Linked DNA regions of Cricetulus griseus. The protein of the gene in region 5 purifies or fractionates together with the protein of the main gene of each other region. This does not show direct contact. Links are inferred from orthologs where the notes say so. Each region holds a gene or a part of one and is shown on either strand. Other genes may lie near its edges.

Evidence for each region.
Region 1: the proteins of Fip1l1 (region 5) and Cpsf2 purify together in Homo sapiens (affinity purification with mass spectrometry; 7 studies listed by BioGRID and IntAct, with this or other methods). This does not show direct contact. The link is inferred for Cricetulus griseus from reciprocal best matches to the Homo sapiens genes FIP1L1 and CPSF2.
Region 2: the proteins of Fip1l1 (region 5) and Cstf2t purify together in Homo sapiens (co-immunoprecipitation; 3 studies listed by BioGRID and IntAct, with this or other methods). This does not show direct contact. The link is inferred for Cricetulus griseus from reciprocal best matches to the Homo sapiens genes FIP1L1 and CSTF2T.
Region 3: the proteins of Fip1l1 (region 5) and Cpsf3 purify together in Homo sapiens (affinity purification with mass spectrometry; 5 studies listed by BioGRID and IntAct, with this or other methods). This does not show direct contact. The link is inferred for Cricetulus griseus from reciprocal best matches to the Homo sapiens genes FIP1L1 and CPSF3.
Region 4: the proteins of Fip1l1 (region 5) and P4ha2 purify together in Homo sapiens (co-immunoprecipitation; 3 studies listed by BioGRID and IntAct, with this or other methods). This does not show direct contact. The link is inferred for Cricetulus griseus from reciprocal best matches to the Homo sapiens genes FIP1L1 and P4HA2.

What each region holds. Positions count from the first base shown.
Region 1 is NC_048598.1:104,034,238-104,039,918, reverse strand, and holds part of Cpsf2 (cleavage and polyadenylation specificity factor subunit 2), read left to right. Parts: intron 1-757; coding exon 758-858; intron 859-1,213; coding exon 1,214-1,414; intron 1,415-3,440; coding exon 3,441-3,593; intron 3,594-4,239; coding exon 4,240-4,465; intron 4,466-5,681. UniProt on the Homo sapiens protein: Component of the cleavage and polyadenylation specificity factor (CPSF) complex that play a key role in pre-mRNA 3'-end formation, recognizing the AAUAAA signal sequence and interacting with poly(A) polymerase and other factors to bring about cleavage and poly(A) addition.
Region 2 is NC_048596.1:30,363,058-30,369,315, forward strand, and holds Cstf2t (cleavage stimulation factor subunit 2 tau variant), read right to left. Parts: upstream 3,972-6,258; 5' UTR 3,868-3,971; coding exon 1,903-3,867; 3' UTR 248-1,902; downstream 1-247. UniProt on the Homo sapiens protein: May play a significant role in AAUAAA-independent mRNA polyadenylation in germ cells. Directly involved in the binding to pre-mRNAs.
Region 3 is NC_048600.1:27,390,582-27,395,686, forward strand, and holds part of Cpsf3 (cleavage and polyadenylation specificity factor subunit 3), read right to left. Parts: intron 4,396-5,105; coding exon 4,301-4,395; intron 2,861-4,300; coding exon 2,773-2,860; intron 1,173-2,772; coding exon 1,103-1,172; intron 1-1,102. UniProt on the Homo sapiens protein: Component of the cleavage and polyadenylation specificity factor (CPSF) complex that plays a key role in pre-mRNA 3'-end formation, recognizing the AAUAAA signal sequence and interacting with poly(A) polymerase and other factors to bring about cleavage and poly(A) addition.
Region 4 is NC_048600.1:68,253,612-68,259,835, reverse strand, and holds the start of P4ha2 (prolyl 4-hydroxylase subunit alpha-2), read right to left. Parts: upstream 4,157-6,224; 5' UTR 3,956-4,156; coding exon 3,841-3,955; intron 2,200-3,840; coding exon 2,138-2,199; intron 1-2,137. UniProt on the Homo sapiens protein: Catalyzes the post-translational formation of 4-hydroxyproline in -Xaa-Pro-Gly- sequences in collagens and other proteins.
Region 5 is NW_023276807.1:141,060,635-141,066,315, forward strand, and holds part of Fip1l1 (pre-mRNA 3'-end-processing factor FIP1), read left to right. Parts: intron 1-908; coding exon 909-973; intron 974-1,568; coding exon 1,569-1,676; intron 1,677-2,168; coding exon 2,169-2,299; intron 2,300-2,587; coding exon 2,588-2,656; intron 2,657-5,681.

The DNA.
Region 1 (5,681 bases), on a different chromosome or scaffold from region 5:
TGCTAATAATATCTGCTAGAAATAACGAGGTATCCCTTCTCCAGGTAGGCATTTCCAGTCTTGCAAATTAAACAAATCGTGTTAACTTTTACATGTTGTCTGTGTCAACACCATTGGTAAACTTAGTCATCTATCCATGGCTATAAGCCATTCATGTTTTTTATTTTTAAAATTTTCTCTGCATCCCAGCACTCAGGAGGTAGAGGCAGGTGGATCTCTGTGAGTTCGAGACCAGCCTGGTCTACAAGAGCTAGTTCCAGGACAGCCTCCAAAGCCACAGAAAAAACCAAAAAAAGAAAAAAAAATTGTTTTTTCTCTGCACATTTTGTCCTTTTTGATGTGTTCGTTCTGTCTTGATTTTGGGAGTTCTTAGGAAAACATAAGTTCTGACAGTCATAGTACAGTCAGTATTTTCATCTTTTCTTTTAGTTCTGTGAGATTTAAAATGTGAAAGATGTTTTATTTTCCCCTTATGACTTACGGCTTTGGTTCTTACTGTGGCTTTTCTACTTTAAATTATAACAGTATTTAGCTCTGCTTCCTTTCCGAGGTTGACTGGTGTATTTTAGCCAGTTTGACTGAAATCCATCCTCTAACAGTTCAGTGTTAGTGCTACTCTAAAGAAGATGTATGAGTCTGTGTCATCGAAACTTGATTGATTTAGATGGGAATTTAAAGGTTATGGGTCACTTCAGAGAAGCGATGTGTCTCATACCCAGCTCTTCTGATGCTGACTTTCTCTTGTCTTTTTCATTAGCTGAGGAAACGCGTGAAGCTTGAAGGGAAAGAACTCGAAGAATATGTGGAAAAAGAGAAACTAAAGAAAGAAGCTGCTAAGAAACTTGAGCAGTCGAAAGAGTGAGTCACTCACATAAGAGTAACTCGTAAGGTTAAGTCAGCATATAATGTAAAAAGAACACATTTGTAGGATTCAAACACTCAGTGGCCTTCAGTGAAGATAGCTTAAATTGTCTTAAGGCTTTATGACTTATTAACATTTTCAAATGGCAAAAATAAAACCTTTTGAGTGCTAATAATGCCAATGTATTAAGGATGGTAATGTCACATTTTTACAAAACCCTGATCTACTTATACCAACTACTATGACTTGGGGTAACAGTGGATAGTCATTCATTCATTCATGGTTTTATAAATACTAAGCCAAACTGACTTAGTAACATTGTGACCCTGCTGTGTTCCCAAACCCTCCCAGGGCGGATATCGACTCCAGTGATGAGAGTGATGTGGAGGAAGATATCGACCAGCCTTCAGCTCATAAGACAAAGCATGACCTGATGATGAAAGGCGAAGGCAGTCGCAAAGGCAGCTTCTTCAAACAGGCCAAAAAATCCTACCCTATGTTTCCTGCCCCAGAAGAAAGAATTAAATGGGATGAATATGGCGAGATCATCAAGTATGTGAGCAAAACAAACTCTTTGGGCTCGGTGAATTGGATCTCTCTGGTCGCCATGTGCTTTGCTCTTGAATGCCTTGGCTTGAGAGATAGAGGAGGCTTGGAATTGGAAGCATAAAACAGAAACGTTGAGGGGCATCTTGAGGATTAGTAGGAAAGGGAGTGTGTAGTTTAATTACTTGGTTTCATGAAAGGTTTGAAGCTAAGGGACATGCTGTGGAGTTTTTGCTGGTAGTTGTATTTATAATACTTTTGGCTACAAGGGGAATATGAAATAAAGGGTGGAACCATGAAAAACAACTAAAATCACATACTCAGACTGCAGTTTTGGAAACATTGCTAACCTGAGTAAAAGTCTGCCAGGGTTCCCTCTGCTTCCCCAGAAACAGTTAGGTGCCTTGGCCTAGTACACAGTGTCTGACATTCTTGCTCTCATGTTTTCCTCTTCCCTTCCCTGTCTGGCTATATATAGATATATTTAAGTGTCTCTCTCTCTCTGCATTGATACGCACTTGTTTACCACTTGTATAGCCAGGATTATAAGCATGTATTTTATACTTGCCTAGTACTTCCATAATGTTGTTGAGCAAGTGGTAGTCTTAGATCATTCTTGTGCTTACTTAGGAAAGTCCCATTGTCTACATAGCCCTCTAAAACAACCAAGAGAAAACATGGCAATGTAAACAATGCTGGTGTTTTTTTAGGTTCATTTGATAAGTGACCAGTCTGCTGCTTACTCTCTGTGTGTGTGTGTGTGTGTGTGTGTACACAAATGTGCCTTGTATACATATGTGTATGTGGAAACCAGAAGACAACTTGCAAGAGTCAGTTCTTTCATTCCATTGTAGGTTCTGGAGATCAAACTCAGGTTGTCAATTTGGGCAGCAAATTCCTTAACCCACTGAGCCATCCATCTCATGGCCCTGGACACTACTCTTTAACTTGACTTTCCTAAGAAACATGGGGATACAAATTAAATGAAGTTGTAGGAAGTTTTTGTTTTTGCTTTGGGTTTGGGGGGAGGGGAGGGGCTTTAGAGATCAAACCCAGGGTCTTGTAAATGCTAGGCAGTTATTCTATCACTGAATTACACTCTAGCCTGTGAGATTTTGTTTTTAAGGAAGGTCTCTAGCCTGGAATCACACTAAATGTGCTTTAAGTGGTTGTTACTGCTATGGTTATTCTGTGGTTTAGAGTTGGGGATGTTAACTGTGGGGAGTAAGAAACTGTAGCAACCTGGCTGTTAGAGAATAGAGCCTGGGTTCTCAGAGAGGAGTGAGAATGGACTAGAACGTTAGAAGGATGGTCACAGGGTGGTAGAGGATTGTAAAAACAGGTATCTCACTCTTTTCAGCAGTGCTCACAGGGAGAGTTGTTGTGGGGCACACATACACATACACTCACACAAACAAGTAAATTATAAAGAGTGCAGGGCCGTCCAGTGGTGGTGGTGGTGGTGTTGCACGCCTTTAGTTCCAGCACTGGGGTGGAAGAGGCAGGTGGATCTCTGTGAATTTGAGACCAGCCTGGTCTACAAAGCTAATTCCAGGGTAGCCAGGGCTATAAAGAGAAACCCTGTCTCAAAAAAACAAAACAAAACAAAAAACAAATAAGCAACAACAACCAAAAATGCAGGGCCAGATTTCAAGAGTGCTTGTTGCTTGTTCCAGCCATTCAGTTCTTTTTTTGATGTGTTCAGGGTTTCTCAGCAGTCTACATCATCCTTAAAGAGCGTTCTCCGGCTGGAGAATGTAGCTCAGGAATAGCATGCTTGTCTAGCTTGTGTAAGGTCATGGGTTTGGTCCTTAGTGCTGCTAGCTAAATAAATAAATAGCACTCTTCAGTAGTTATAAAAAACATAGCACATATAATCATCTGATTGGTAGTGTGCATTAATTAGCTTTGAGTTGAATTAAGTCTTAAGATATTCGAGGAGTCTTTAAATTATGCCATCTATTAGTCTGTTACATATGTTACATAATGTTAGCATACCTTCCATGTGTGTAATTAGAGAATCACTGTTTAGACCAGAAGATTTCTTAGTGCCAGAACTTCAGGCCACTGAAGAAGAAAAAAACAAATTAGAATCGGGTTTGACAAATGGAGATGAGCCCATGGATCAGGACCTGTCTGATGTTCCCACCAAGTGTGTTTCTGCAACAGAGTCTATTGAGATAAAGTAAGTGCCTTTGTGGGGTTTGGAGATCAGGGTAAACTATATCAGGTAAGATATAGTTTCAAGCCCTTGAATTATATAACTTACATTGTTTCAAAAGTGAGATTTCAGCAGAGCCACTATGAGTTCATGCTTTTAAAACTCCCTTTTCTGTGAAGTATGTTGGTATTTTCATTGAGGATCCTTGAATACCAAAGTAATTGTTGGGAAGGGAGCTGAAGATTAAATTGTACATTTATATGAAGAGACATTATTTCCTGCCTTTTTAATAAATCTAGTAGCAGGTGGGAGAATGGTGCAGCTGAGAAGCTAATTCTTCTGCATATTACTTGCTTCATGAAATGTCCTCCTTGACTTAGACATTCTAATGTTTGGGGGTAGAAAATTTTCAGGACCAGAAGTAGTCAAGAAATTCTTTCCTTTCCTGCATAGTCCAGTTAATACTGCCAAGAAGTGATTATTTTGGAATTTGAATCATCAGAGAACAAATGGTTTTTTGTTCAGTGATATCTTTTGTGTATATTCTTAATTGGGAGTCATACTGTAACATGCATTTTACAATTTCTCCTTATATGCATTTCTTTCCTGATGGTAAAAGCCTACTTTTAGAGTTAAGAAAGTGAGCTTGAATAATGATATTTAATTACAGAGCCAGGGTTACTTACATAGACTATGAAGGACGTTCGGACGGAGACTCCATTAAAAAGATCATCAATCAGATGAAACCACGGCAGTTGATCATTGTCCATGGCCCACCAGAGGCCAGTCAGGACCTGGCCGAGTGTTGCCGTGCATTTGGTGGGAAAGATATTAAAGTGTACATGCCAAAGCTACACGAAACAGTTGATGCCACAAGCGAAACGCATATCTACCAGGTAAATATGTTGTCAGTGGAGCCATGGGGAAGTAGACATTGCTGTTGGCACACTAGCTCATGTACATTAGGAATATGGTGAGTGAGATGGGTACAGCTCCCTACCCTAACAATCCCTAAATTCGAGATGTTTAAACCAAATAAATCAAATGCCCCTAACACTTACTCATTTGGCAGTGTGTAAGGTGCTGGGAGATAAAGAAGAGGGCTCCTACTCAAGTTTGGAGGTTTGGAAAAGGTTTCCTGGAAAAAAAAAATGACAACTAAACAGGCTTTTTAAAAAAAATAATTATTTTTATTTTATGAGCATTGATTGGTGTTTTCCCTGCATGTATGTCTGTATGAGTGTGTGAGATCCTTTGGAATTGGAGTTACAGACAGTTGTGAGCTGCCATGTGGGTCCTAGGAATTGAACCCTGGTCCTCTGGAAGAGCAGCCTGTGTTCCTAACCACCAAGCCATCTCTGCAGCACCCTAAACAGGCTCTTATTGGATGTTTAGCTACTTTGTCAGGACAGACAGCAGCAAAGAGTGGGGAAAGAGTGTTCTAGTCAGATAGACAACTTTGGCCAAAGTACCAATGTGAGGGAATGATAAGCATTCTCAAAATCAAAAACATACGTCCATTTCTTCATTATGAATGGCAGGGTCTGGCTGTGTAGCCCAGGCTAGTCTCAAACTTGATTCTGCTGCCTCAGCCTCCAAAGTGCGAAAATTATAGGCATATTCTACCATGCCCAGCCTCAAAAAAAAAAAAAAAAAAAAAAAAGTTTTTTTAAAAAAACTCAGCAGATGTCGTAGTTCTCCTAATTGAAAGAAACAGTGTGGCTAAATGAAGGAGAAATAGTCTTATCTGGAGATAGTGACAGTGAAGGTAGGCGTGACATCTATATCTGGAAGAGGTTAGAACTTGCCCGGCAGAAAATCATATCGGGTATGTAAGAGAAAGAGACATGGAGGTGTGAAATTAATGGCACATTCCAGAAAGCACAGCAGCCATAGCTGCACAGATGGTCATCTGAGCACTAGTCTTCATTTCAATGATCACACTAGAAATACTAGAGGTGGCACCCCAGTGTTAGTATCCAGGTGGGTGTGGGACGCCGTGACTCTGTTGTACAGTCAGATTGACAGTCTTATTTTGGAAAATGGCCAGGGATTCTCAAGCCCTTACAGATAATTGGGTCACTGTGAAGAATGACAGCCTGAGGAGAGAGA
Region 2 (6,258 bases), on a different chromosome or scaffold from region 5:
AAAGGTGATCCTGGAGCACAGTGTTCTAAGAGGAACACCCATTATGTAATGTGGAAGGTATCACCCACATGCCACTGCTGCTGATGACACTGGAGTGGCATAGTCCTCACAGGATTCCAGCTGTTGAACCACATATACAATAAAGAGATTTCCACCAATTTCCTTATTTTACTTTTTTCACTACATGTATGTATCTCTTAAAAAACAGGCATTTCCCAATGTATTAAGTGAAATTAAACATACAAAATACCTTAATCATACAACTTTTTTATTTAAGCTTTATTAAACAGTACAGAGACTTTCTTATAACAAACACTGTTTTGATTAGTCAGTGAGAAGTTTGGGGTTAGCAACTACAATTTTAAAAGAAACAAGCAATTGGAATTAGCCAGAACTAGCACAAAAGTACGAACACTAATCCACTCCAGCAGAGAGGAGGCAGAGGAAACACAGGAAGCTTAACACTAGCACAGAACAACTAAATCGTAGGAAAATAGCCTAGGGATGAAAACTTTGTACACTTAAAATTCAAGAACTCTGCAAGGGGACAACCCTTTGTGTCAGCTCTCCCTAAGGGTTACTCTTTGCTCAGCAGCTGGGTGTTTATTAACCTACAGAGGAAGGTCACTTGGCCATATGGGAGCTTGTGCTTCTTTTGTTAACTGAATATAACACAATGTCTAGGTGCCACACACTCAAAGCTAAAACAAGATAATAGCTCTAAAGGACACATAATAAACTCCACATTCCTTATTTTAAAATATATCTTATAGGAATGTGTATTATGACCAAATGGCTTTTATGTAAGATATAAAATATTAAGTTAACTGAGCATAGCTGTCGGTCTACATGGGCCCCAGTTCTAGTAAGATGTAGGAAAGTAGTTATTGAAAGTAATCAAACTGTAAGACATGTCAAAATGTCAAGACTAAGATTTCTAACTTCCTGTCAACCAAATGGATTGCATCCATATGGTGAGCGGTTTATTGAGAACCTGGGAGAGTTACTGAATGAAACCCCCACTACTCAAGAAAGCCTGACTCCTTTTCTGACTGATTCTTTTAGATGATGTCAGAAAATTACTCACAACCAGACTTGGGGCTTAAGATTTTTCTGTTTTTCTTTTTGAGCTATGCATTAAGCAATAACTTGAGTCTCATCAGGAGACTTATATGTAACTCAGTTCACACTACAACTGTCCTGCAAAACCACCACAGTTGGGACCAGGCAAGGATACTAATAGTTTCAGAAGGGTCAGATAGATCAATGAGGCATCATCTTGAGTTTTCCCATAAGAGCTCTAAGGAAAAAAAAAAAAAAAAAAAAAAAAAAAACTCTATTGCTACAAATTTTACCACAGACTATTAGCTCTAATGTTTCAAAAAATAACTAAAATATTAACCTTAATACGGTACTCTATTGCCTTTAAAATAGAATTAAGTGTTTCGGTTTTCCAAAAAAAGTGTATCTTCACAGTTTGACATTCAGTTCAATATACAGCCAAAAATCTTTAAACTATCAATATTGTAACAGGCCACTTTCAATTTTAATGTAGTTCCCAGTTTACTCAATATTTATAAAATACAGCTAACAGAGTGCAGACATGTTATTATTGCTGTATCTTCCTATACCACCTTATTTGGTATGCTGTCCTCATTTCCAGGGTTTCTAGTGGAGTTAAGTGACAAAGTGAATAGGCCCACTCCCTCCACTCCCTATCCTCAATCAAAAAGAAAAAGGAAAACAGAAAGTAAAAAGACTAGAAATAGGACTAAGGTCCAGGGAGAGGGCAACCTTCAATCATTAAAGTATGGGAACACAGAAGACAGCTTTTTGCACCACTTTTCATGCCACACAATAAACACTGAAGGGATAACTAAGTACTTCCTAACCAAAAGCCTTTCAAGAAGCACCAGTGGATTTCTGGATCTGTTCCTTTAAAATCAAGATACTCTGCCTTTGCTCGGGAGGCAGCATGGCAATCTGATCTGCAGTCAGCTGAAGAACCTGCATGATCAAAGCTGCTTTTTCCTGATCTTGTGGAGTTACCTGACTTTGCCCAGGGCTAAAACTGCTAGGCTGGCCTCCACCTTGCTTACTCGATCCTTGTATCCCTGCTTGCATGCCTGCTCCCTGCATCCCCGCTTGCATGCCAGCTCCCTGCATCCCTGCTTGCATGCCAGCTCCCTGCATCCCTGCTTGCATGCCAGCTCCCTGCATCCCTGCTTGCATGCCTGCTCCCTGCATCCCTGCTTGCATGCCTGCCCCTTGCATGCTTGCTCCTTGCATTCCTCCTCCTTGTATACCTGCTCCCTGCATCCCTGCTCCTTGTATGCCTGCCCCCTGCATACCACCTCCAGGATTTCCCACTCCTGCAATGTTTGGAACCTGTCTAGGTCCCTGAGGGCCACCTGCCCCCATATTAATGGGGCCAGGACCCTGGATTCCACCAGTCATCGGGCCTCTGGAACTAGGGCCAGGGCCCCTCATCTCTAGTCCTCTTGCTTCCATCCCTCTGGTCTCCATTGCGCAGGTCTCCATTCTTCTCTCCATTCCTCGTGGCTCCAAGACCTCGGTTTCCATGGGTCGAGTCTCCATTCCTCGAGACTCTCTACCTCCTCTACCATCCATAGGTAGACCTCTTTGATCTATCATGGGACCTCTGGGCTCTCCAATTAGCATTCTGGGATCTGCTGCTAATGGTCCTCCTCTCATGTCATGCGAGGAAGGGCCACGGCTGTCATGACCATGGTGCATAGGGGGACCTTGGTGGGGTGGGCCCATATAACCTCTGGGTTCTACTTCTCCGGTAACTGAGAGCAAAGTCCCTCCGCGTGGGTCATTTGGAGCATCTCCCAGTAGTCCTCGAGGAGGAATGCCACCAGAAGGCATGGGTCCACGAGGCATTGGAGGTCTAGGATCTGACATCTGCATTTGTCCTCGCTCTAAGGGCACTGGCATGCCAACCTGTGGCTGCATTGCTCCTGCTGGAGTTAAGGAACCAGGTCCAGGTCCGGGAACTGCGGCTGGTATTGGTCCCGGAGCTGGAATTCCTCCTTGTATAGAAGTCTGCATCAGAGGAGGAATGTCCTTCACAGGTCTTCTTGGCAGATGTTGAGGCTGTGGGGCTGGAGGATTCTGTTGGTTCAGCATAACATTGGGTCCCGGGCAGAGCCCAGGGGCAGTGGCAGGGCCAGGGCCAGAGCCGGGGCCAGGGCCAGGACCACCTGGGCCAGGGCCAGGGCCAGGCTGAGATTTGCCTGGGATCAGTGGTGTGACATGTATCTTGCGATGCAAAATTTTCAGTGCAATCTCTGGATCCATGATCCTCATCACCACCTGGGCCTGCAGCAGGGCATACGCCAGTTGTGGGTTCTGAAGCAGCATGTTCCGCGCTTCCTGGTGGCTGTTTTGGACACACAACTTCATTTGCTTCATCAGCTCAAACATCTGCTCCGGGGGCAGGCTGGCGACTGCTCTCGTAATCGACTCTGGAGCATCTTCTGGATCAATCGGGTCCCCATAGGGGGAGTCGATGATGGGCGCTGCCGGGCCCAAGCTCTTTAACTCCTCCTTGTTCTTTTCACTGGCAGCATTGTCCACCCGAAGCGCTCTCCCACTAAATTCGCGCCCATTGAGGTTCCGCATGGCACTAAGCGCCGTCTCCTGGTCTTGGTACTCGCAGAAGCCATAACCCTTGGGCTTTCCTGTCTCTCTATCGTATACGAGACGGAAACTGACAACCGAACCAACCTCCGAGAAAATGTCCTTTAACTGCTCCTCCGTCGCCTCATACGGGATGTTCCCCACGAACACTGAGCGCAGTGAACGATCCATGGCTGGGTCTCTCACCGCCAAACTCGACATGATTCCGGTCGAGCACACAGCGGAGAGCAAATCCGTCCAAGAGCCGTCCTCTGGCGAGCCAACCACACTTCCCCTGTGTAACGGAAGCAGGTGTCAAACTCCGGGGAGAAACCTTTCCGCTATAAGTCCATAGTTCCGCTAGGCCGCAGAAACCGCTTCCTAAGACCGGACTAATTTATCTAACGCCTTCCGCCTCCGGTCGCGCGCTCTTCTGTCCGCGCCTGGTTACTGACAGCGTGTTTCCTCTCCATGATCTTATTGGTCAAATTTCTCCGGCGTCCCGCCCCCTCTTCCTGCCGTCACCGGATGCATTAGAACTGACCACATTAAAGATGGCCGACCGGGCTTCACTGTGGTAACCGTAGCGTCGGCCTTCCCAGAGGGATGGGGCGGTTTTTCTTTGCGTTCCACGAGCGGGAAACCGCCAAACGAAAGCTGATTTAAGGCTTAATGTTTAAATTTCTGATCCATGTGTTTTCACAGATGCTTCCGTTTAGTGTAGAATGTTTGAAAGATTTAAAATTTTGTTCCAGATTATGAGGTAAAATGTTGATACCTGTACCTTAATATTAAAACACCTCCTTAAATATCAATAAAAGAAAATTAATGCCCAGGGAGACAAACTAAAGCGTCTGTCAGCTTCAGCCCCGCCCCCACGCTATGGCTTGTTGAAACTGTTATAAGATGCAGGATCCTTTCAGGTTTTTCTCTGTGTGCTCAGGCAAAGTGCTCATTCCTCTACTTACTAATATTATGCTAAATTGGAATTAATTGAAAAGTATGGCCGAGAGTATAGATTTAATCGAATTAATTTAACTTTTATTGTGGACATTTAGGTAGTTTTGATTTTTAAGTTGTTCTCTTTGTATTTTATTTTGAGTTACGGTCTCTATGACGTGGAGTCTGTATAGTCCTGTGCTCTCCTGAAGTTCATGATCAGGCTGGCCGTAAACTCACAGAGATCCACCTGCTGCCTGCTTCTGCCTCTGGAGAGTGCTGAGATTAAAGGCATGCTCCACCACTGGTTTTGTTGTCCTTGTTGTTGTTTTGGGGGGTTTTTAGACAAGGTTTCTCTGTGTAGCCTTGGCTGTCCTGGAACACTCTCCATAGACCAGCCTGGCCTCCACTCACAGAGATCCGCCTGCCTCTGCCTCCCGAGTGCTGGGATTAAAGGCGTGCACCACCACTTGCCCAGCAGCATATGTTTTATATTTGGTTGTGAATTTATTCAACAAATCAAGATATCAGGTTACTAAAATTAGTTTTGCTGTCTTAACACAGGGCTCCTCTTCAGACCAGGTTGGCTAGGAATTCACTATGTATGTAGTTCAAATGGTCCTCCAATTTGCAGTCCTCCTGTATGCCCCAGATGCTGGGATTAGAGGCAAGCACCACAAACCTTGTTCTTACCTGACTGATTTTCAAAGAAAAAGACATGAATCAAGCAAAACATCTAAGGCCTATGGGATTATCCTTCACACTTATCACTGTTAAAGTTTGGTCCATTGTAGTAATGGTTTTTATGCTAACTCTGAAATTGTTCTGAGCATCCATGTATCAATCATACTAGGAAATAAGTGCCTTAGCTAAAAACATAGGCATTTTCAACAAACAGGATTGACCAACAAAATCACCCAAATCTCTGACAGATTTGAGGGGAAAATATGGTATTTACAGCAGGGTGGTCACACAGGTCTGGAATTACCAGCACTTGGGGGCCTAAGACAGGATGATCCTCATTGTGATTTCAAGGATAGCAAGGGTTACATACTGAGTTGTAGGCCAATCTGTGATACATGTAAGCCCTCCCTCCCCAAATGGTTTTTAGTTATTTCTAGAAATTAAAATTTACACAAAACTGTAGAAACTATATTCTCTGTGGGTCTATAAATGGTATTAAAATATTAAATGAAAGATTCACAATAAACTGGGCATGCTGGCTCACACCTTTAATCCCTGCATTTGAGATACTTCCAGGACAGCCTGGTGTAACTAGCTCCAGGCTAGTCATGACTACACAGTGAGACCCTTAAAAAAATAATTTTAAAAAGGATTCACTATAGATTAAGTAGATAAATACTAGATATAGTTTTAAAATACTATGAATAGTTTCAGGCACTTTTTACCCTTCATTCTGAGAATTGACTTGAGGACCTGAAACCTAACACTAAATTATAATCCCAGCTCTAGGCCCAGAGTCACCTTTTTATTTGTCTTGGTCTCTCAAAGAATAGCCAAACAGTCCACAAAAATTTCTCTAGTCTCTCCCTCATCCTGTAGGCTAAAAATAATTCATTTTCCCTTAGATACAACCAATTTTTTAATCTGGACCTTCCTGCTGGTAGTAATTCGTTTTACCTTTTAGTAGAATTATGATTTGCATCTATAAAA
Region 3 (5,105 bases), on a different chromosome or scaffold from region 5:
TTGGGGTCAACTTGGGCAATACAGTGAAGCTATGTCTCTTAAAACACAAAACAAATCAAAAAGCCAATGAAAGCTATTATTAAAAAGCCACTGTTATCAGTATGAAATTTTAGAAAAACATAAAGGACACAAAATCTTCCCAAATACTAAGATTTCTATCCTTGTCACTCTCAACTTAGATGCAGAAGCAGCCATTGTCATGATTGGAACCTGCAATGTCCTCAGAGGACATCAAAATTGGCTGCCAGGTGATGGGTTCTGACCTAATTCACCAAGCGATTCCTTCCCTTACAGACTCACATCAGGCTGGCATTGGCACAGCTGCAATGGTAACAGACATGAGGCCTGGGTGAGGAAGAAAGACACCGGGAGCATGACTGTGAAGGGGACAGCCTGTGTGTGACTGTGAAGGAAGGGGACAGCCTGTGTGTGACTGTGAAGGAAGGGGACAGCCGGTGACTCTGAAGAATGGAATATAGTGAGCTTCCTCCTCTCCTGCACAATCCCATCACCACAATGCTCTACTCCACATCAGGACAAAGCCAAGGCCACCTGGCCATGGCAGAGCCCTCTGAACCAGGAGCCAAAATGTATCTTTCTTCCCTTTGTCTTGCAGACATTTTCTCTAAAGAAAACTAAGTTATTCATTCACCAAGCAAATGATACGATATTGGGTGCTGAAACTATGAATTAACTATCCACTGGTAAGAGGTTTCCTAAGATCGCTTAGAAAACATCCCAAAGTCAGCTGAAAGAGCACCCACAGGAAGGCACTGTGGTAGAAACACACCAGACTGGAGACATTCACAGTTACAGATAGACTTACTGGAAAGAGGCTAAACACCCACTTTACCAAACAATTCACGTCCAAGCCAATACTTAAAATAACTCTTAAAGGCACAGTGACATTCAGCTGACATCACACTAGTTGACAGATGTGCAGGCTTCATAAGGCTGGAGCACTGGCATGTGGCAACAACCACAGTGTGAACTTGGACATAACTTACTTAGTACATTAGCAGGACAGGGACACACCATGAGTTCAGCATTCCCACCCGCATACACACACACCCATGCACCCGCACACCCAGCTGAGACTTACTGCAGCATGACCTCCAGCCTCTTGCTATAAACGTGCATCTCTAACTTCTTAGAGACCTTCTGCACCGCACCTGAAGGACAAGCAGCTCAGTCACCAAACAGGTCACCAGAGCATGAAGTAACCATGGAGACCTCAAAGTCAAAGCATGTGCTGTGCCATCTGCTCACATAAGGCAAATTCATGTGAATGTCAGTTCGTGTTTTTATAAAGGAACCACAACAACACCCAGTTCACTTTTATTTCCCAATTTTCTCAAACTTACATTCTGAGGAGAGGTGACTAAATTATAGGTCCACAGACTTCTGGACCATTAATCTGTATCTAAACGTTATGTATCAGCTATAGCATCTGATACGAATATTTTAATAAAATCAATACTTAAGGGCTGGAGAGATGGCTCGGCATCCTCTTCTTTTTTTTTAACCCCAACAAACACACAACTTGATGGTCATGATAAGTCATCTTTAATCTGGAGTTAAGGTCACCCTGGCCTATCCATTCCTACGCCTCCCTGGCCTGCACCAGCTATACAACAGTGCCCATTCATGGTCTCTGTTTCCCCAAAGGGTAGGCAGACTTGACATGTGAAGTGCGCACACACAAATTCTCTTTCCCTGAGCCATCATCTTATTACCACATGGCCCAGTGCTCACTGCATCACTCAGGCTGGCCTCAGACTTGCAGTGACCCTCTTTCCTCTGACGCCCAAGTGTCAAGATTACAGCAATGTGAACCACCCCATTTTCAACGTTTTGCTTTTTTTGATTCTACTAGACAGGGTCTCTTTTCTCTTGTAGAGTCCAGGCTGGCACTAAACCTGGCCTTGATCTCACCCTCCTGCCCCACTGGTCAAATGCTGGGGCGACATGCGTGCACCACCGTGCCTGACCAGAACCATTCTCAGTGCTGAAGAAGGTTCCAGGACCAGATGCCCACTAAATGGGTGCTCTCAGCACTGAACCACACCAGCCCCACAGAGCAAACAGCAGCACTGTTCACAGAGCTAAAGGCGAGGATGAAGACTGAGCAGAGACTCTCACACTGCCATGACCCACAACCAAATGCTCCCCAGCAGCTCAAGGGAGGATATGGACATGGCCGGCTTACTCATGTCACTCATGTGACAGAGTGGCCAACACAGAAAACTTAGGGAGTGACCAGTTCCACTTCCCTCCCCTGTGCCCATTCTGTCTCTAGGGGGACATTCTATCCTGAACAGGCTCTGGTATCCTGTGTGGGTCTAGAGTGGGGGGAATCTCCCAGAATACCTCAGGGTGCCTCCTTGTCTGATGGCACATCTGGAGTCCACTGTGCAGCCACAGGGCCAAGCCGCCAGCCAGCTTCAGCACATGCTCTCACTAGTTAGAGCTGCCATTCTATTCAGCACCTTCCCTTGAACATGAAGCCAGCTCTCTCCCTGAGGGACATGCTGGCTCAGCGGAGCAGTATCTTAGCATCTCTGTTCACAATGTTTTAGGAGAACTGTAACTAAACAGGATTCTACCTTTGTGAATGATGAGCCAGAATGAAAAGTAAGACATCATGTGTTCATACCTCAAAATCACACACTAAAATCTAGGAAAACTTAAGTTCTACTCAGGGCTCTACTGATTTTTTTTGTTCTAAGAATCTGAGAGAGATGGAATGGTTAAGCATGGGGCAAGCCCTACCTTTCCTTATTTTTGGATTCGACTGAACTTCCAGTATCACGGTGGTCACTGTGTCCGCATACATGTCGTTAGAGGGGTTTGCCAGCCACTATAAAGCAAAGATGGAGTCAGGAAGGTAGAACCACAGCCATACTGCTGCGAGCTCTGCCTGTCAGGCCAGCAGGCCGCAGGGGAGCTGCTGCTCTAGCTTTTTGGGGAATCAATTGGCTCCTAGTCACATGAGACTCCTAGTCACCTGAGTCCTTTAAACGCGCCCCCCTCCCCACTTTGTGGCAAGAAGTTTTCCATGCATTGCCATTTAATTTCCCTAATTATTTTATTAGAAGAGAAAACTGACCCCAAAGTAACACATGCAATATAACTGCTGGTGCTGGGTCAAACTCAGATTCCAAATTTCTTTATGCTACTGGCTCAGGCAGCAGGACAAGAGGGTGAAACACAAGGTGTGTAATGTAGATGCCTATTGAACTTTTTGTTTGTATTGGGTCTCACCAGTGTATCTCCACCCCACCCCACCTCACCCCACCCCACCCCCTAAATGGATCTGAATATTTTGCCAGCCTGTATGTCTGTCAGAAGAGGGTGCCGGATGTCCTGAAACTGAAATTAGTCAGTTATGCCACATTGGCCATGTGGGTGTGGGGATTGAACCCAGGTCCTCTGGAAGAGGACATTCCAGCCCAGATGATGTTTGTCTTTTAAATTTATTTATGTATTTATTATGTATACAGTGTATGCCCAAAGGTCAGAAGAGGGCACCAGATCTCATAACAAATGGCTGTGAGCCACCATGTGGTTGCTGGGAATTGAATTCAGGAACTCTGGAAGAGTAACCAGTACTCTTAACTGCTGAGCCATCTCTAACCCATTTATGCTTTGAGTTACTTTACAGTTTATTCAAGACATGAAAATATCTTTTTTTTTTTTTTTAAAGGAAGGTGGCATGACTAGTTTGTGGCCTTTTTTTTTTTTTTTTGTATTTCGAGTCAGAGGTCCTCTGTGTAGCCCTCCCTGGCTGTCCTTGAACTCAGAGATCCAGGAGCCTCTACCTTCCAAGTACTAGCATTAAAAGTGTGCACTATCTTGAGACTTTTAAGACCCCCCCTTTTTTTAATTAAACTATAAGTACATCAAATTCCTGCCAGCCTCTCCCCTGTTAGCCCCACCACCACCTACTCTTTCTCAAACTCACGGCCTCTTTTACTTTAATTGTTGCTGTATTTCTTTCCCTAGACTTATAAATACAGCCTGCTCAGCATGTATAGTGTTATTTTCATATATTTGATTTCAGGCCTGACCACTTGGTCTTGGAAGACCTATCAGGGGACTTTTCCCTTGGCAAGACTATTTCTCAAGCTCTCAGAATGCCTTAGTTGCTTGTAGTTTTGTCTAAGGCTGAGCCTGTGAGCTCCCCTCTTCAAAACTGATGGTACCCCAGATTATCAATAACCACACTTCTCTGCGATTACACATACGGTTATAGGAAACTTCCCTCCTTCCTCCCCTTGAGGTGATGACTGGGCCTCACCTCCAGAACCACCATGCCTGGCTCCTGTATGACAGTGATATTCTTGAACACCTTCAGAGCAGGTTTTTCTTGAATTTCTAATTCTTCTACATCACCTGAAGAAAATTGTAAGACTCATATGATTTTCTTACAGACTTTAAGAGGCGTTAGTCTTTGTAGAGATAGTTAAAACAGAGCTGCTGTAAGTGGGAAGATTATTAACATTTAACAGCTATGTTTTATTCCTACTGCTCATAGCAACTGAAGACCACACAGTACACAATTCCTACACACGCGCCTCAGGCACCAACACTCGGGCCACCAGCAAGAGAGATCCATCTCCATAGCACCTCAGCTTTAGTGCAAGCCTCATGGGCCAACTCCCCACCTCCACCTTGAGTCTAATTGTCACACAGGGAGTCCAGCTGCTGAAGGATCACTAGTTCTTAAATGAATCTCCTCAAGGACTAATTCATTCATTCATTAATCAATCATTAATTTATGACTTTCCTCTTTGGCCATACTCTTGGATGAGGTCAATTTCAGGTGGGTAGAATCCTCCCCCCACTTCTTGTTTCAGGGGCTAAGGGGCTCAGCAGCAGCAAGCACATCACAGCCTGGGGTGCTCCCGTCTCCTCAGAGAGCCCACACTGATGCTTCAGTTATCACCTTATATCAGGTAAGGACATTTTGTTTAAAATGGTGAGAATGAGAGACATAGGCTTAGGCTCTCACCAAGGTCTTACCATACCTGCTACAGACTGGTCCTGGCAGAACAGAGAACATGATATATAAACCCTTAAGTATAGCTACCTAGAACAGATTT
Region 4 (6,224 bases), on a different chromosome or scaffold from region 5:
AAGATATTCACCAACCCCACATCTGACAGAGGCTGATCTCCAAAATTTACAAAGAACTCAAAAAGCTAGTTTCCAAAACACCAAATAATCCAATTAAAAAGTGGGGTACAGAACTAAATAAAGAATTCTCAATAGAGGAGTCTAAAATGGCTGATAGACACTTAAGAAAGTGTTCAACATCCTTAGCCATCAGGGAAATGCAAATCAAAACAACTCTGAGATACCGTCTTATTCCTATCAGAATGGCTAAAATCAAAAACACCAATGACAGTTTATGCTGGATAGGATGTAGAGAAAGGGGAACACTCCTCCACTGCTGGTGGGACTGCAAACTTGTACAGCCACTTTGGAAATCAGTATGGTGATTCCTCAGGAAAATGGGAATCAGTCTACCACAAGATCCAGCAATTCCACTCTTAGGCATATACCTAAAAGAAGACATTCATACAACAAGGACATCTGTTCAACTATGTTCATAGCAGCACTATTTGTAATAGCCAGAAACTGGAAGCAACCTAGATGCCCCTCAACTGAAGAATGGATATAGAAAATGTGGTACATTTACACAATGGAGTACTACTCAGCAGGAAAAAAAAAATGGAATCTTGAAATTTGCGGGCAAATAGATGGAACTAGAAGAAACCATTCTGAGCGAGGTAACCCAGTCACAAAAAGACAAACATGGTATGTACTCATTCATATATAGATTTTAGACACAGAGCAAAGGATTACCATCCTACAATCCATACCGCCAGAGAAGCTGGGAAACAAGGAGTATGGTCCCCCGAAGAAGGGGATAGGGACAAGATCTCCTGAGCAAATTGGGAGCATGGGGGGAAGGGAGAGGGAGCTAAGAGAATGAGAAGGGGAGAAGAGGAGGGGAGAGGAGAACGTGAGGGAGCAGGAAGGTTGAGTTGGCGGAAGAACAGAGGAGAGCAAGATAAGAGATACCATAATAGAGGGAGACATTTTAGGTTTAAAGAGAAACTGGCACTATTGAAATGTCCAGAGATCTACAAGGATGACACCAACTAACAATCTAGGCAATAGTGGAGAGGCTACCTTAAATGCCCTCTTCTGATAATGAGATTGATGACTACCTTATATGCCATCCTATAGCCTTCATCTAGCAGCTAATGGAAGTAGAAGCAGTTACCCACAGCTAAACACTGAACTTGAAAGACCCCCAGAGACTCAGGCCCCCAAGATCTCAGCCCAGGACCTCAGTCACCCCAATCACCAGGCAGAGTCAAAAGCTTGATGCAAACTGCACGAGGCTTTATTGTAGTTGTTTAACGAGCTAACCCCATGTTAGCTCGGGTCTTTCATCCACCCACCATGGCGGATGGCTAAAAAAAAGACCCTGCAAAGCGGCTGCATAGAGATCTTATAAGGCAGCATAAGGGGAGTGTCTAGGGGTACACACAGGCTCAGGATTGGTTTGGAGGGTTTGCCCTGTGTTGATTGGTCAACTGGTTGTTATGGCCCATAGGCCCTCCCAGGGTGGTTGCTATGCTCTGTGCGTCATTGCTGTGCACTTGTCCATAAAGCACACCCAGAGCCGTAAAGCATAGCACCACTAGCTAACTTCTGATTGGTTCCTTGCCACAAGACAGGCATCTGACCTCCTAGCAACCAATACAAGGTCAGACAAGTATGTGTTTGGCTGTTATGGCTGCCAAAATTGGGAGCTGGTCCCTTCAAACTGAACTTGAATCAGTTGCAGAGAGGGGAGAGTGATGAGCAAAGGGATCAAGACCAGGCTGGTGAAACCCACAGGAACAGCTGGCCTGAACAAGGGGGGCTCATGGGCCCCAGACTGATAGCTGGGAAACCAGCATAGGCCTGATCCAAACCCCCTGAACCTGGGTATCAGTGGGGAGGCCTTGGAAATCTATGGGGCCTCTGGTCGTGGATCAGTATTTACCCCTAGCATAAGAATGGACTTTGGGAGCCCATTTCACATACAGGGATACTCTCTCAGCCTAGACACACGGGGGAGGGCCTAGGCTCTGCTCCAAAGGATATGACAGACTCTGAAGATCCTCCATGGAAGGCCTCACCCTCCCTGGGGAGCAGAAAGGGATAGGGAGTTGGTAGGGAGCAGGGAAGGAGGGGAAAATGGAAAAAAAAATACCTTGATGCACTTGCTATGTGACCATTGGCAAGGACCCAAGTTCCACAGACTCATAGATTTGCCTGCACAATGATAAAAAAAAATAGAAAACCACTCAAACTATACCCCTTAATACAGCCTGTTCTCCATTTGAACCTCGTACGAGAAAACTGAGTTATCTCACTCATGTGGCCTGCTGACATGTGTTAATGCTTTCTTTGCTCCAGCAAACTTATTTTGCTTCTTTTGCAAATCTGTGTGAGCCCTCATTTTTAATTCTCTGAATAAGTAACCAAGAACCTGGAAAAACCTAGCCCAAACTCTAACCACCAGTAAATATGGAAATAAATGGAATTGGGAAATGGGTATCTGGATAATTGGTATAAAATCACCACGTGGGATAGCAGTTGCTAACCCTAACCCTAAGCTACCACACACAATCCCAATAAGAGGAACATGGGGCACCTTGAGTAGACACCCACATCTGAACTTACTAGTTACTAAGAACCCTGGCCTAAGTCCTTGACTCACTTCAAGGAGGCCAAGGCGTTCATTCCTCTGGAGTCTGATATGGTCACTTCATATCATATCAGACACATTCCAGAACACTCAGATCCCATAAAAGCACATTTTGTATTTAACTGTGTAAAAACATGGATGAGATCCAGTGGACTCATTTCCATGTCAAGATATTATATTTACTCTCATATAGTATATGTATTTTCTATATACATTTATATAGAAAATATGGTATTTTCTGTTTTTGTAACTTTCTGTATTTTTCACAACTCAGATACTTGCATAAAACTCTGAGAAGCTCCATAGAGGTATCCCTTCCCTTAACTCTGACCTAGAAATTGAATCTTTAAGTTATTGTACTTATTGTACATAGTTTTTCTTATATTATATAAGGCTTCTTTTTTATTTTAGACAAAAAGGGGAAATGCAGTGATATTTTGTTTGTAATCTAACAAATAAAGCTTTCCTGAAGAGTGCAGAGCTAAGCCACTAGTTAGCCACACACCTAAGCCACTAGTTAGCCATAGAGGTCAGGCCATGGTGGCCATGCCTTTAATCCCAGCACTCAGGAGACAGAGGCAGATGGATCTCTGTGAGTTCAAGGCCACCCTGGACTACATGAGAGTGAATCAATCTAAAACAGAAACAGAGCTCACACCTTTGACCCCAGCACTTGGGATGGCATGCCTTTAATCCCAGCACTAGAGAGGAATATAAGTCAGGAGTTCAGTGTGGTCTCTGGCAGTCTGAGATTTGTGGGAGACCATTGCAGTCTGCAGTCATGCTGAAGACACGATTTCCCCCCTCCCCCCACCACCACTGCTGCTTTAGTTTGAACCTTGGTAGAGGTGAGAACTCTCTACTGGTTGGCTGCTTTGCTTTTCTGATCTTCAGCTTGAACCCCAATATCTGTCTCTGGGTTTTTATTGTTCATGCACAGAGATCAGAGATGGCTCAGCAGCTAAGAGCACTCGCAATTGCAGAGGACCCAGTTCAGTTCCCAGTACCCACATGACAGCCCACTACCATCCCTAATTCATATTCCAGGGTATCTAATGATACCTCTTCTGAACTCTGTGGGCACCAGGCACACACATGATGCACATATATACATGCAGGCAAAACAAGCATACACATAAAATAAAAACAAATCTTAAAAAAAACAACAAAAACCAAATTATGCCAGAATCTGACTTGATCCTTACCCTGAACCAGTAACCTGAGGGCCTGGGCCCAGCAAATTGCATTCCTCCTCATCTGCAGGATCCTGGTTGAGTAGGGACAGCTGGAACAGTGTGCCTTCCTGGCTGAAAAGTGCATGATGCAAGTAGTGAGAGCAGAAGGGCAGCTTTCTCAAAGTGGCTACACCACAGGACACTGTGATTGATGACAGCTGTCTGGGACAGCCGGCACTCTCACTCCACAGTCACCAACAGCCGCAGGCCAGGCTCATCCCCTTTCTTCATCCAGACAGCATTTCCTCATGCTCCATCTCAAAGTGCAAGCAGCTATTTGTGCACAAGGCCTGTAGAACCTAGGGAAGGCGGGGCCTTGGGTCCGCCCCTGGAATGTCATCCCAGCTCAGAATTTGCAAAACTAATAATGGCCACCAGAGGGTGCATGAAATCCACCATGGGAACCTTGGTGTGTCATCACTGGCCTTGCCCAAAGAACCCTCCTGGTATTCAACCCTCTACCCTGTCCTCCCCATCCTTAATTTAACCCTTCCTATTTTATTAACCCCATATCACTGTATTCTATCTCTCTTGAAAGCCCCTGCCATGGCTCCTTACAAATTTCCTGACCTTTATGGGTATTTCAAATGGAACACACATATCTGAAGATTCATCGCTAACATGCACATATGAGTAAAAATATGTGAGGCTTGTCTTTCTGAGTCTAGGCTATCTCACTCAGAATGATCGTTTATACAACCTACACATGTATTACATATATAAAACAAGTGTAACATTGTTTCCATTTACACGTGAATTTTGTAATTTCATTTCTTTTAACAGTCGAATGATATTCCATTGTGCAAATGTAACACATTTTCATTGTCTGCTGATGGTTGTTTCCAATTCCTAGCTATCATAAATAGAACAGTAATGAGCATGGATGTGGTTCCCTGCAGTAAAATGCAGAACCCCTTGGTGTGTGTGACTGTGTCATGTATTAATCTATTTCTAGCTTTTTGAGGAAGTGCCACTTGGGTGTCCATGGTGGCTATACCAGTTTTTAATCCCACCAACAGTGAAGTAAGTGTTCCCCTTTTCCCTCATCCACACCAGCATTTATTGTCATTTGTTTTGTTTTCGTCATTCTGACTGGGTAAAATGAAATCTCAAAGTAGTTTTAATTTGCACTTCCCTAACGGCTAAGGATACTAAAGAGGTTTTTAAATGTTTCAAGGCCATTTAAATTTTATCTTTTGACAGCACTCTGTTTAATTCCATGCCCCATTTCTTTTTTAATTGGGTTGTTTGGCTATTTTGATGTCTATTTTTCTCAAATAACTCATTTTTAAAGCCTTCCTGGGACTGATTGAGTGCCCAGGTCACCAATCTGACAAGATTCAGCTAGGACCCTTGCTTACCACATCAGTAGGAACAAATGGGTGTATAGAGATGTTTTCCAGACCTCGGAGAGTAACTCCAGCCTGGGACTTCCAGTACTGAAGATACAGAGGATGTTGGGAAAATCCCCAAACCTTTGCTGAGCCCTTGAAAACTAGGACCAACTAAGTTTTCTTGAGCCTTGGAGGCATCCAGGGATGATAGAGCCTGTGACCAAAATCAAGAACTGGTCATGCAGAAAAGCCAGAAAAGGATATGGGAAGGCCACTGGCAGACCACTGGACAACCCAGAATACCCTGGCCCCTGCTGAGGTAGGTGACTCAGGAGACACAGAACTGGATCCCTTTCCTTATCTGGGCTCCCATGAGGCTCTGGGCTGCTTGTGGGATTGAGCTATGAATTAATGGAACATTCCATTGTGCTAAGTGTAAATAATATTCAGAGTTGTCATCTATGCTGGACAGTATGGTGATTTGAATGACAATGGTACTCATAGGCTCATGTATTTGAATGTTTGGTCCTCAATTGATGAAACCATTTGGGAAGGATTAGGAGATGTGGTGTTTCAGGATATTTGATCACACTCTGGAACTCTGAGACCATGTTAATAAAATTAGCCTTGGACCAGGGAGTTCAGCCAGTGGACTAGCTGACAAGAATTAGCCATAGAGAGGACAAAAGACCTGGTAAGACTAATAGAAAGACCAACAGGAAGGAGTAGGGAAGGACTTAGAGATTTGTGGTCTTGTTTTGGTTTTGGACGATGTGGAGAGACAATCTCTTGCTGGGTCTCCAGCAGAAAAGGAAGGTCAGCTGGTTACATCTTGGCTTCTCCGATCTAGCAGGTTCCCCCCCAACATCTGACTCCCAAGTCTTTATTGTAAATAGAGCAACTTAGGAGAAAACAACAACTGTGGCTTTGTTGGAAGAGGTGTGGTCACAGGATGTGGGCTTTCATCTCCCTCCCTCTCTGCCTCCTATTTGAAGATAAGAAAGGTCTCAGTTACTGTTT
Region 5 (5,681 bases):
CCTCCTACCTTTACCTTCTCAGTTCTGGGATTAACGGTGTGCACTACTATGCTCAGCGGTAAATTTATTTTTAAAGAAAATTATACAAAGTTTGTGGCAGTTGGGGTAACTTGCTCAAAGTTGCACAACTAATTGTGTATGAACATAGGTTGGTTTAACTTCAGTTATTTGTCATATGAATATATATGTATTCCTGCAGTCACAGCCCTAACAAAAATGTGGAATACTGCAGGTGTCCTTCCCCTTTAAGTTACCACTGTTTCCCTTATACTCCAGATTCGTTCTTTCATGTTTCTTCAAAGTGAATTCATTTTTATGAACGAAACACTCCATGTGTATTGGAAAGAGATTTGATTGGTGGTATAAGATGTGAGAAAGACTAAAGTGGGTCCATGGGATTTGGCAGTGTGTCATGGAGCTTTCACTGTTGTAGGATTGCTAGATGTTAAGGAACTGGTAGATAACAAAGATGTTCCTTGTGATTTTGCTATAGTGGCATATTAAGTTAGTAGGTGGGAGACTTGAGATGGAAAAATGTCAGGCATTAAAAAAAAAAAAGTTCTTGGGGCTGGAGAGATGCCTTAGCACTTGTTCTTACAGAAGACATGGGTTCAGTTCCAGCACTCACAATTATCCATAACTCCAGTTCCAGGGAATCCAGTGCCCTCTTCTGACCTCTTTGGACACCAAGCACTCTTGTGATATACATACGTGTAGGCAAAACAGTCATACACATAAAGTAAATCTAAACAAATTTTAGTTTTTATCCTGTAAAACTGAAAAAATCTTTAAAAATTAATATGTTTGTGAGTGCCAATTCGTTCACTCACTATGTGGGTTTATAACATGTTGAATATTTCTATTTTGTTACTGTGTGTTTTTGAGGTTAATTTTTATTATATTTTTAGGAGTTATGGAACAGCGCCAGTAAATCTTAATATCAAGACAGGGGGAAGAGTGTATGGAAATACAGGTAAAACTTGTATTTGCATCTGTATAAGTATGAAAAAATGGCATGATATCTCAGGTCCCGAGTAGATTGTATCAGCTCTTTTCATGAGTAATGTTTGACTGACACATATGCAGACTCCTTCTGTGAAAAACATCTCAGACAGCAGACATTCCGCCTGTTCTGCTTGTGCTGCTTTGCTTGTTTTAGAACCCTTTAAGAGAAACTTCTTTGCCCACAAATTATATAAAACAGCAATTTAACAGATGGCATTAGCAATTCCATTGATGTAGTAATCTTTTGTTTTTGTTTCCTGAGATAGTATCTCAGGACCTATCCTTGACCTAGCTGTGTACCCAAAACTTGCCTTTAGTTCCTGGTCCTCCTGTCTCCATTTCTCAAGTGCATAGATGTTAGGCATGTGCTGCCATGCTAGGCCATAATATCTAAATGCATAACTTTTCCATTTTGTTCGTCTTAAAAGTTTCATCACAAAGTCTGACTTTATCTAGTTTTATTAATGGTCAGGATGGATGGTAAAGGGACATTTGTTTCCTCTTTTTGTCTTCTCCTTCTTGCTAAGGTAGCTTCTTTGCCATTTTGCATTTCTTTAAATTAGGAACCAAAGTCAAAGGGGTAGACCTTGATGCACCTGGCAGCATTAATGGAGTGCCACTGTTGGAAGTAGATTTGGATTCTTTTGAAGATAAACCATGGCGGAAACCTGGTAAGATTATTTGGGAGTACAGTTATCTCAAAAACAGATTTTTAGTGTAAAATGATCAGAAAAGTATTTTTGAGTGGCAGTATAAAATGCTGCCTTTCATGATGTCTTTTTTTATTGTTCTAAGCAAACAATGAATACTGAGTACTGGCATTATTAAAACCTCATTAAGTCACTGGAATTAACATAAATGTGGACTCACATTATTTAGTATAATGTCATTTCTAAAGGAAATCATTTTGATCAAAATGTTTTTCAGTCTGCTTCATTGTGGTAACCTTTTCTCATATGTATACAGTCTTTTGAACATGTTCACTGCTTTGTCCTCTTTGACCCCCTCCAACCCCCACCAATACCCTAATAACCTTCCTCTTCAGAGTTTGTTCCCCTTCTATTTTCATACCTTCTCTAAATCTACATTTTTATACTGAACTATATTTTGATGCTGCCATAGAGTTAAAATATTTGTATTCTAAAAGTTTATTTTATCTTTAGGTGCTGATCTTTCTGATTATTTCAATTATGGCTTTAATGAAGATACTTGGAAAGCTTACTGTGAAAAACAAAAGAGGATACGAATGGGACTTGAAGTTATACCAGTTACTTCAACAACAAATAAAATTACGGTAATTAGTAAATCTTCCAGAGTAACCCTGCCTCTTCTACTATTGCACTTTGACTCCCCAAATAAGTCACTTTTCCCCTACAAAGGTGATTAAATGCTGTATGACAGTTTAATTTTTTTGTTGTCTTGACCATGTTTGTTTATTTCCCCTTCCCCTTCAGTTCCATGTTAATGATTATCGTGTGTTCTTAGTTCAAATCACAGACTAGCCACAGCTAGTTTGTCTTTATGTGGCCTATCAATTAAAAATTGTGTGGTATCTTAATGGGGAATATGTTATTTAACTTAGGCCGAAGACTGTACTATGGAAGTTACACCAGGTGCAGAGATCCAAGATGGCAGATTCAATCTTTTTAAGGTGAATTTTAGTAAATTATCCTTGGTTGCTCTCATTTTGTTCTTGAGTCTGCTCTGTTCAGGGGAGAAAATTAAAGTGGAAATAGGTACCTTTTTTCCCCCCAAACCTTCAGCTTCCTGGTGACTTACATCTTTGTTGATTGTTGTTAACTTTTGTAAGCATGTGAATTTATAGCCTATCATACTAACAAACACCAAATAAAATTTCTTTGCCGTATGTTGTGACCTAAGGATAGTACATATTTGTGGGATATGAAGGTCATGGCTGCAGGCTCAGCACTCATTGTACATTTTACTCTTATTCTTAGTAAAATTGGGAAAACCTTTTGTTTCCCCAGTTCTTAAAAAAGCAGGAGGGATGGTAACAATGTTTATTCTCTGACAATGAAGTCTCATTGGTGCAATAGCTTATAGTTAAGGTGTTTTCAAGAATTTTAGATGTTCTCTGACAACCTCTTAAAATTGAGCAGAGCCTCCGAGGTTTAAAAGGAGTAGGTCCATGTAAGTGACATGAAGGTTGACAGGATCATGTGACATCAGGTCTGACCTCTGGTTTCTCCATGTGGGTCCAAAGAATACTACATTTCATTGCTGCTTTTCCTGAGGTTTGGTTGGGTAGCCTTTCCTTTCCTTAGCTTTAGGTTATATACCTCAGGGACTTTGTGGCCTAGATATAGAACTCTGTGCCCTTTTGAGGACACCAAAATGCTGGCTTATGTGCTGTATCCGCAGATGTAGCTGCTGTCTGTACAATTCTGTATAGAGACTTTAATTTTAATTTATATCCTATTATAGGTAAGTATTTGGTTCTTGTTCTGTTATTAATATTTTGAAAGTACTTGGTAATATTTACTCTTTTAAATGGTCATCTTAGATTTGTAAACAGTGAAATAAGAAACTACTAGGGTTAGCTTCTCTTGAAAGCTATAGGTATCTATTTTACATATAGGCTATCTGTTGAATATTTTTTGAGTTCTTTTTGATTGTTTTCGAGGAAGTCATTAATTTTTCTCCATTTCTGATTGATTCATTCTGAATGAATTTTATGGTTGTTGTTCAGTGGTTTTCTTGCCTTGATCAGATGCTTAAATACTAGTAAATCTATTGGAAATAGTGATTTAGGGATGATTAATTTCAGTGATTTAGTTAGGCCCCCCCCAGTCATATTGTGGTCTGTAGGAAATGATGGAAATAATGCCACGGAAAAAGACCTTCATCTTAAACACTGTGCACATTCATGTGAACAGTGGGCATCCATAAGAAGGTTCTTGAGCAGTAGATTACTGTGCAGATCTGGTTTTTAGAAAAGAAGTGGCAGTTGAGTGGACTGTAAGAAAGGCAAAAGGTCAGATGGGGTTGATGTGATCAGTAGTACAGGAGTGAACCAAAAAACACCTGGGCTTCATGACTTGAGAGCCTTTTTTTTTTTTTTTTTTTTTTTCATTTTATTTTTTCTGCTTCTCTTTTTATCTCTTATTGATGTATTGTACTAGTCCTGTAAAATCTGGATTTACCCTAATTTTTCCATCTCTTCTTTCTGGGAGGTCGTCCCCCCCCCCCCCCCGTCCCCCATTGAATTCTACTTAGATTTTTGTTTCTGCTGTTAAGTTTTTAATTTCCAAGAAAGTTTTCACTGCAAGATCAGATGTTAACTTGGTTTCAATAAATCAATCATATATTATATAGTTATTTCTTAAGATGCTAGGTTATGTGAACTAATCTCATGTTCTGGTTGGACAGATTTTGATTTTGTCATCCTGAATGTAGCATATGAAAACACAAGTGGGTAGTTAGAATTCAAGATAAAGAGGAAAGCTGCTATGATAGTGAAGGTTTTCAGGATTGTGTAATAAGTGTGTTTTAGAGGAATTAAGTATAAAAGTTAGGAAAAATGAGCAGTTTTTACTCATTTTACTACCTCTTGTCTTCACTGTTGTAGAGATACACACGTACATGCATATAGTTTAAATACTCCCTTCAGTTTTAAGATCTTTTATTCTCTCTCCCACTTTCTTCTTCAACCTTCTCCCATTTTTCTTTCCAGCTTTTAGAAGACAATCCCAAACAATGTGTTAGGCTGGTTGGGGAAAGAAAGTGAACATAATAGACATAGACTCTAATCTTCTGTCATGGAAAAGCTAGGTATTCAATAAATAATGATGCCAACAATTACATATTTAATGTTATTTGAAAGACTGAAGAAGCGACATTAAAGTAGAGGCTCAAAACCAATCAAATAAATTTAAAAAAAAGTTTATTGGCTTCTCCACATCCTTTTCCAGACACTTAGCACTTAGGATACAGAGTTTATACATGGTTTCTTCAAAGGTCTTGGCATAGTGACAGTAGGCAGGTAGTATCATACAGCAAAATATTCAGATGATGCTAACAAGAAATTTTAAGAAGACAATAGAAAATCACAGGAAAGAGACTGGCAGTGGTGAAGGAAAGCTACTCTGTTACAAGGGATAATTTGACACAGTAGTCCTCTTTCGACCACTGGAATACACTAAGATCCCTTGTAGATGCCTGAAACTGGGTAGTACTAAACCCTATATACTCTGTTTGCTTCTCCACATGTATATGCACAATAAAGTTAACTTCCAAGTTAGTCATAGTAAGTGAGTAACAATAACAGTGCAGAGCAGTACACTAAAAAAATTATTCCAGTATGCTCAAAATAATTATTGTGCTGTAAGTCATATCAACCTTAGCATATGGTGACTCTTCTGAAAGGAACTAGGTGATGGCTTCTTTGTGCTGGCTCTGAATCGTCAGCATCATGACCTTTGTGCTTTAAGGGCATTTTTAAGTTAAGTAAGGCTTAGTCAGACCTCAATACTCCTCTACCCTAACAGTTTTAGTATCCCAGGCAGCTGAATGAGTGATTAACAGGATGCTGAAGTGAGCATGTGGATGCATAGACAAAAGGATGGTTCATGTCCCAGGTGAGGTGGAATTGGAAAGGTGCAGACTCTGTGTGGTTTAACGTGTCAGTTGTCACTGTTTGGAATTTTCCACTTGAG